Coturnix japonica: one gene and its partner. The protein of the gene in region 1 purifies or fractionates together with the protein of each later gene. This does not show direct contact. Links are inferred from orthologs where the notes say so. Each region holds a gene or a part of one and is shown on either strand. Other genes may lie near its edges.

Evidence for each region.
Region 2: the proteins of POLE (region 1) and CIAO1 purify together in Homo sapiens (affinity purification with western blotting; 3 studies listed by BioGRID, with this or other methods). This does not show direct contact. The link is inferred for Coturnix japonica from reciprocal best matches to the Homo sapiens genes POLE and CIAO1.

What each region holds. Positions count from the first base shown.
Region 1 is NC_029530.1:8,891,167-8,894,666, forward strand, and holds part of POLE (DNA polymerase epsilon catalytic subunit A), read right to left. Parts: intron 3,370-3,500; coding exon 3,216-3,369; intron 3,136-3,215; coding exon 3,029-3,135; intron 2,904-3,028; coding exon 2,727-2,903; intron 2,500-2,726; coding exon 2,276-2,499; intron 2,082-2,275; coding exon 1,861-2,081; intron 1,575-1,860; coding exon 1,370-1,574; intron 1,210-1,369; coding exon 1,036-1,209; intron 816-1,035; coding exon 690-815; intron 549-689; coding exon 416-548; intron 308-415; coding exon 124-307; intron 26-123; coding exon 1-25. UniProt on the Homo sapiens protein: Catalytic component of the DNA polymerase epsilon complex. Participates in chromosomal DNA replication.
Region 2 is NC_029537.1:1,034,588-1,038,675, forward strand, and holds the start of CIAO1 (probable cytosolic iron-sulfur protein assembly protein CIAO1), read left to right. Parts: upstream 1-1,288; 5' UTR 1,289-1,313; coding exon 1,314-1,463; intron 1,464-2,010; coding exon 2,011-2,160; intron 2,161-2,426; coding exon 2,427-2,538; intron 2,539-3,122; coding exon 3,123-3,211; intron 3,212-3,393; coding exon 3,394-3,595; intron 3,596-4,088. Other genes in the region: TMEM127 (transmembrane protein 127), read right to left, coding at 920-1,175. UniProt on the Homo sapiens protein: Key component of the cytosolic iron-sulfur protein assembly (CIA) complex, a multiprotein complex that mediates the incorporation of iron-sulfur cluster into extramitochondrial Fe/S proteins.

The sequences.
Region 1 (3,500 bases):
CTATGGTACACGGCCACGATGTAGGCTGCAGGGACACCAATGGGGACAGCCCGTGTTGGGGCAGCAGCAACAGCAGCTGTCTCATGGCAGGGCTCTTGGGATCAACTGCCAGGACCTACTCACCCGACACAATCATCAGGAAGTAGTTCTGGCAGGAGGCAGCCTGCGGCAGGAACTGCACGATGTTCCAGCTGTTCTCCAGCAGCTCCTCCATGTTGGACTCCCCTTCTTCCTCATCTTCTTCCCCTGCCTCCTCTTCTTCCTCACTGTCTCCCTCCTCTAGTGCTTGTTTCTTGCTGGTATCCTTCTGGAACAGCACACGGAGAGACAATGATGTTACAGAACTCGTTGGAGCCAGATGATGCCTCCCCAGTCAGCTCAGCTCCTTGGGGACTGAGAGCTTCCTCTCCCTTACCTCCCCGCAGTGGATGCGAGAATGCACTTTTCCCTTGATACCTCCATAATTAGCTGGATCCATCCAGAGCAGGAACTCCCAGCAGCGGGAGAAAGAAATAGTCAGAGAGTGGAAGATCTCCTTTGAGTGGATGCTGGAGGGAAGAGACTGCAGTCACCCACGACATCAGCGTCTAATGAACAGCCTTCTCCATGGGATGGAGTGGTGTTGGCAATGAGAGGGCAACTCCTGGACAGAATCCTCCAAGAGTTCTGAGAATACAGGCACTGCCCACCTGTTGATGATGTAGTCCATGTAGCTGATGGCATCCTCAATACGCCGCTTCTTGGTGCACAGAATGATCCGGTTGAAGTTGGCGTACACCACCGAAGAGCCGAGGCGCCTGAACTCAGCCACCAACCTGCAGGCAGAGCACAGGAGCTGCATTTGGCACACAGGAAGAACTGCTGCCATCCAGCTCCCTGTTAGCAGCAGACAGCACAGTGGCTCTGATTCGCTGCCCATCTGCAGCCCTGTCCCTTTGGAAGATGCAACAGAAGGAACTGGCTGAGGGTGCCAACAAGCATCCCAGTCACAAGTGCCATGCTATGCCTGTCCCCTCCTTCTCAGTTTTCACTTACTGCAGGAAAAGCTTCTTCATCATGTTGTGCAATGTGCGGTGCAGTGCTGGGTCATAGAGCAATGAGGAAGGAGAGCGAAGCCAGCGGTAGAAGTGAATGACCTGGTTGTCTGCATAGATGTTGTGGTACTGCGTGATCTCCTTCACCCAGCTCACCACCATGCTCTTCAGAATCCTGTCAGGGAGCACAGAGGAATATTACCCCACTGGCCACAAACAATCCCTTCCTCCTTCCAGAAAGGGACATGCCTTCAAAGATATGTGGGATGACTCTATGGTCCTCAGCCACAGGGTAAATATGTGCCTCTGTAAACTCCCAGCTGCTCCAGCCCTACCTGAATGTGTTGGAGCAGAGGGCAGTTTCATCATAGCTGGCTGGGATGTTGGCAGCTTGGTTCCCTGTCACCATGTCTTCCAAGGATGCCTGCTGAATTACGTCAAAGCTGATGCTCATGCTGGAACCTCCTTCCATATCATTTACATGATGGGACTGCAGCACCGTGTTCACAGCCAGGCTCTGGATGTCCAGCTCCAGACACACTACAAAGTACAACCACTCAGCAGGCAGGCAGGGCATCCCCATCCCAGGCTTCCTAGTGCTGCTATTGGTGTCCATAAATTAGAACTGGATCTACACATGGATACTTGCGTACATTTTCCCATTGCACACAGGACCTCCCATCCCTGCATCATGCCCACAACAAACACCTCACCCAGATCACTGCCAAACCATCAAAGCTTTGCGGCACTACTGCCAGCTCAGAGCTCGTGCATCCAGCCCCGTGCACTGCTCACAGAGCAGCACACCTGGCTCTGCCCTCCTTACCTGTGGAGTAGCAGCCGGGGTTGTTAATCTCCACCGAGGCTCTCTCATCAAACTCCATGACGAGGCGGTTGTCATCAGCCTCCTTCCCCCCCAGGTCGGGGCGGGCAGTGGGGGAGAGCCACAGCAAATGGTTGTGACGACGGAGGTGTCGTGAGAAGAAAAGGTCAGAGCCAAAGGTGGAGATGTCATCAGGGAGGTTCCCGATGGGAATGTGATAATATCTGGAGTAAATAGACAATTGCAGTCATTAGGAGTGAGCACAGCTATGCCTGCCCCAACAAGGAACGCAGCACCTGCCCTTGGCATGGCTGCAGTCTCTTCCCCATCCAGCGAGGAGCACAGCAACCCCAGGGCAACGTGGCCAACCCCAGGGCAACGTGGCCAACCCCAGGGACACGTGGCCAACCCCAGGCACCTGCTCATCTCAAAGGCCTGTGACAGGCACGTGTCCAGGTTGAGGTAATGGCGGATCATGCGTCGGGCTGCATGGCGCTGCCAGTCCAGGACTGAGTAGCTGATGTCATCTGTCACCCGGATGGGGACCAGAGGGAACTCCTCGAGGATGGGGACGCCACTCGCCAGCCGCTTCAGCTCCCAGTTGGACTGCACAGCGATCAATGTGGGACCTCGGCGCTCATCCTGTGAGCAGAAGACATGTCCTGCACCTCTCCAGGCAGCACTAGGGCTCCACTGGAGGCCATCAGGCCATTTGTTGCACAGAAGGGACCTTCAGCACAGCAGCTCTTGGAGCACCCAGCTCTGCAGCAATCAGCCCCAAACATGGCAGAACACCCACATCTCTGCAGCAGTGCCTCCCACAGCACCTTCCCCCCACAATACACCCATGGGGTGCCTCCAGCTCTCACCTTGTAACCCAGCAGCAGCCGCTGGATGGCTCTGTAGATGGCCTTGGGGTCAGTCTCGGCACGCACTTCGAAGTTGTGCTTGTCTGGAGGCAGCAGCTCCTCACCCACCCTTTCCAGCAGCGCTCCTCGTTCCGCTGAGAACATGGTGGTGAGGTTTGGCATCTGGTTGCTGCGCACCTGGAACCAGAGTGGGACACAGTGAGGGAGGAGGCTGCATGCTGGCAGCTCAGGACAGGTCCGACCCTGCCATCCCTGATGAAAACCCACTGCTGTCTGCATGGAGAAAGCCTCCAGGCTCCTACCGTGTCCAGCACAAAGACAGCAGCCTTGCGTTGCGCAGGGATGAAGAGGCCGAAGAGGGCCCTGCTGCCCTGGGAGCTGTGGTAGAGGTAGATGTGGCGAATGCTCCCTACGGATGAAGAGCACAAGTGGTGTGTGCTGGCTGTTGGGTGCCAGGCACACAGCCAGTACCCCCACCTGCTGACTCACCTGGCTCCAGGTAGGGGAACTGGGCCAGCGAGCGCATCTCCAGGTGCTCGATGTCGAAGGTTTCAGCCTCACGGCCCGTCAGGTGCCGGACGAGCTGCCTGCTGACCATGCAGACACAGCCCAGCTGGATCAGGGCCCTCAGCAGCAGTGGCACCTGCACCAAGAGATGTGGGTGGAGGGCAACTCTCAGCTCAACTCCCCTCGGCACCCCTGAAGGCAACGAGGCTCAAAAACATGGGGATCTGTGGTGCCTCAGGGCTGCCTTTGGTACCATTGCAGACCACA
Region 2 (4,088 bases), on another chromosome or scaffold:
AGCACAAAGTGGCTGCTCCCAAACCTCAGCCCCATAATGACCCATAGGAGCCCCATAGCGGCCCTATAACAACCAATAAGGACTCCATCAGCCTTATAACAACCCCAGACCGAGCCCCATAACGACTCCATAACAAGCCCATATCGAGCCCCATAAGGACCCCATAATGACCCCATAGTGACCCCATAAAAACCCCATACCGACCCTATAAAACCCCATAAAAACCCCATAGACCCATAAAGACCCCATAAAGACCCTATAAGGAGACTCATAATGAGACCCGTAACGAGCCCCATAAGGACCCCATAGCGAGCCCCATAGCGATACCCATACCGAGCTCCATAAGGGCCTCATACCTATCCCATAAGGACCCCATAGCGACCCCATAAGGACCCCATAAGACCCCATAATGACCCCATAAGAACCCCATAAGGACCCCATACCGACCCCATAACAACCCCATACCGAGCCCCATCAGCTCCATACCAATTCCCATACCGAGCCCATAATACGCCCCATACCGATCCCATACCGGCCCCATACTGAGCCCCATAAGGACCCCATACTGAGCCCCATAGGAGCCCCAGACCGACCCCATACGGACCCCCATAACGACCCCATAGCGAGCCCCATACCGAGCCACATACCGATCCCATAACGACCCAATACTGACCCCATAAGGACCCCATAATAAGCCCCATACCGATCCCATACCGATCCAATAAGGACCCCACACCGAGCCCTATAGCGAACCCATAGCGGCCCCATAGCGGCCCCATAGCGACCCCATAGCGGGCCCATAGCGAGCCCCATAGGGACCCCATAAGGACCCCATAAGGACCCCATAACCCCATAAGGACCCTATAAGCCCCATAAGGACCCTATACCGCCCCACTCTCCCCGCTCTCCCGTTTCTCACCCCTCAGCAGCTCGGTCCTGACGGTCCCCATCACATCGGCCACCCCCAGCTCCTGCCGCCCGCAGGTCCCGCCGTGGATCCGGAGCCAGGCGGGTTCGGCCAGCGCGGTGCAGAGCGCGGTGATGGACAGAGCCCCGGGCAGCGCCGACGCCAGGCTCCGCTCCGGTTGTTTGGGCAGCGCCCCCCCCCCGCCGCCTCCCGCCGTTCCCCGCCGCCTCCCCCTGCCGTGCAGCCCGGGCCCGGCCGGGTTGTACATGGCTGCGGCCCGAACAGCCGGCACCGCCTCAGGCCGCGGGCTCCGCTTCCGCTTCCGGCGAGCGCGGCGGTGACGTCACTAGGGCGGCAACATGGCGGCGCTTCCGCTTCCGGTGTGACGTCATTACGGTGCGACGCGATGAAGGAGGCGCTGGTGCTGCAGAGCCGCGTGGCGGCGCATCCCGAGGCGCGGTGCTGGTTCCTGGCGTGGAGCCCAAACGGGAACCTCATCGCGTCCTGCGGCGGGGACCGGGCCGTGAGAGTGTGGGGGCGGGACGGTACCGAGGGATAACGGGAACGAGGGGGATAACGGGGCGGAAGGAAGGGGCGGGGCCTCAAGGGTGGGGGCGGGGCTAAGAGAGGGCGCAGCCAATGGCTGACGAGTAGAGGCGGGGCTAAGGGAGGCCCCAGCCAATGGCTGATGAGTAGGGGCGGGGACAATGAATGGGGGCGGGGCTATGAGAGGGAGCGGCCAATGGGTGACGAGTAGGGGCGGGAACACGGTGAAAGGGGGCGGGGCTAAGAGGGTCGTGGGCGGGGCTTAAAGGAGGGGGCGGGGCTAAGAGAGGGCGCAGCCAATGGCTGACGAGTAGAGGCGGAGACATAGTGAATGTGGGCGGGGCCAGATGGTGGTGGGAGGGGCTTAAGGAAGGGGCGGGGCTAAGGGAGGGTGTGGCCAATAGGAGGCGGAGCCGAGAGGGTGGGGTAAAAAGGGCGGGGCCAGAGGAGCGTGGGAGGGGCTTAAAGGAGGGGGCGGGCTTAATGGCCCTAATACACGTGGGTGGGGTGGGGGCTGGGCTCCTATTGGGGTCCCCCATCCACCCCCCCCCTATTAGGGTCAGCTGGAGGCTTGCCGTGCTGTGCTGTCTGATGGCCACCAACGCACAGTGAGGAGAGTGGCCTGGTCGCCCTGTGGCTCCTATTTGGCCTCTGCCAGCTTCGACGCCACCACGTGCATCTGGAAGCGCTGCCAGGACGGCTTCGAGGTCAGACCCCCCCCACAGCCCCATAACACAGCCCCATAACCAGCCCATAACCCAGCCCATACCCAGCCCCACAACCACCCCATAACCAGCCCACCCCCACAACCAAGCCCACAACCCAGCCCACTAACCCAGCAACCCCCATAACCAGCCCCATAACCCAGCCCCATAACCCAGCCCCATAACCCAGCCCCATAACCCAGCCCCATAACCCAGCCCCATAACCCAGCCCCATAGTGGCGCCCTGCAGCTCCTTGTGCCCCCCACAGTGCGTCACCACATTGGAAGGACACGAAAACGAGGTGAAGTCGGTGGCCTGGGCGCCGTCGGGCAGCCTGCTGGCAACGTGCAGCCGGGACAAGAGCGTGTGGGTCTGGGAAGGTGAGGGGGGGAATGAGGGGACCCCAAGGGCATCGGCCCCACTGTGTCCCTGCTGTCCTCAATACTGCCCCTTCTGGCCCCATTGCTGCCCCTTCTGCCCCCTATACTGCCCCTTCTGGCCCCATTGTTGCCCCTTCTGCCCCCTATACTGCCCCTTCTGGCCCCATTGCTGCCCCTTCCATCCCCACTGTGTCCCTTCTGGCCCCATTGTTGCCCCTTCTGCCCCNCCCTTCTGCCCCCTATACTGCCCCTTCTGGCCCCATTGCTGCCCCTTCCATCCCCACTGTGTCCCTTCTGGCCCCATTGTTGCCCCTTCTGCCCCCTATACTGTCCCTTCTGGCCCCATTGCTGCCCCTTCTGCCCCCTATACTGTCCCTTCTGGCCCCATTGCTGCCCCTTCTGCCCCCTATACTGCCCCTTGTGGCCCCATTGCTGTCCCTTCTGCCCCCTATACTGCCCCTTCTGGCCCCATTGCTGCCCCTTCCATCCCCACTGTGTCCCTTCTGGCCCCATTGTTGCCCCTTCTGACCCCAATACTGTCCCTTCTGGCCCCATTCCCTCATGGAAGGTGTTTTTCCCCGCAGTGGATGAAGAGGAGGAATACGAGTGTGTCAGCGTCCTCAACTCTCACACTCAGGACGTCAAGCACGTGGTGTGGCATCCCAACCAGGAGGTGAGAGCCCAGCTCAAGGGCAGCGGGACCTGCGGGCATCACTGTGTGTGATGGGAAAGGATCTGAGCCACAGGGCCATAAGGAGTCAGTGCTCCCAAGAGATGGGGTTTGAATGGTCCTCTATGGGGGCAGGGCTTTGCAATCCCTGTGGGTTTGGGGTGTTGATCCCATTCCTGTCCCAGCTCCTGGCTTCAGCCAGCTACGACGACACGGTGAAGCTGTACCACGAGGAGGAGGACGACTGGGTTTGTTGTGCCACGTTGGAGGGTCACGAATCCACCGTGTGGAGCATCGCGTTCGATGGCAGCGGGCAGCGCCTGGCGTCCTGCAGCGACGACAAGACCGTGCGCATCTGGCAGTGCTACAAGCCGGGCAATGAGGAGGGTGAGCTCCTAACACAGCTCCTTGCTGGGACTTGGATCACTCAGTGCTGTGTTGGATCACTCAGTGCTGTGTTGGATCACTCAGTGCTGTGTGTTGGATCACTCAGTGTTGAATCACCAGTGCTGTACATTGGCCATCAACTCATGCTCGTGTTGGATCACTCATGCTGTTGTGTTGGTATCTATCTCAGTGCTGTGTTGTGATCCTATTCCAGGTGCCTGTGTGGTATCACTCATTTGCATGGCCCGTGTGTTGATATTCCACTCAGGTGCTGTGTTGATCCATTCAGTGCTGTGGTGTGTTGTATTCACTCAGTGCTGTGTTGGATCACTCAGTGCTGTGTGTTGGATCACTCAGTGCTGTGTTGGATCACTCAGTGCCTGTGTGTTGGAATCACTCAGCTGCTGTGCTTGGATCCTCAGTGCTGTGTGTTGATCCACTCAGTGCTGTGTGTTGGTTACAGCGTGCTCTCGGTGCTGTACTGATTGGATCA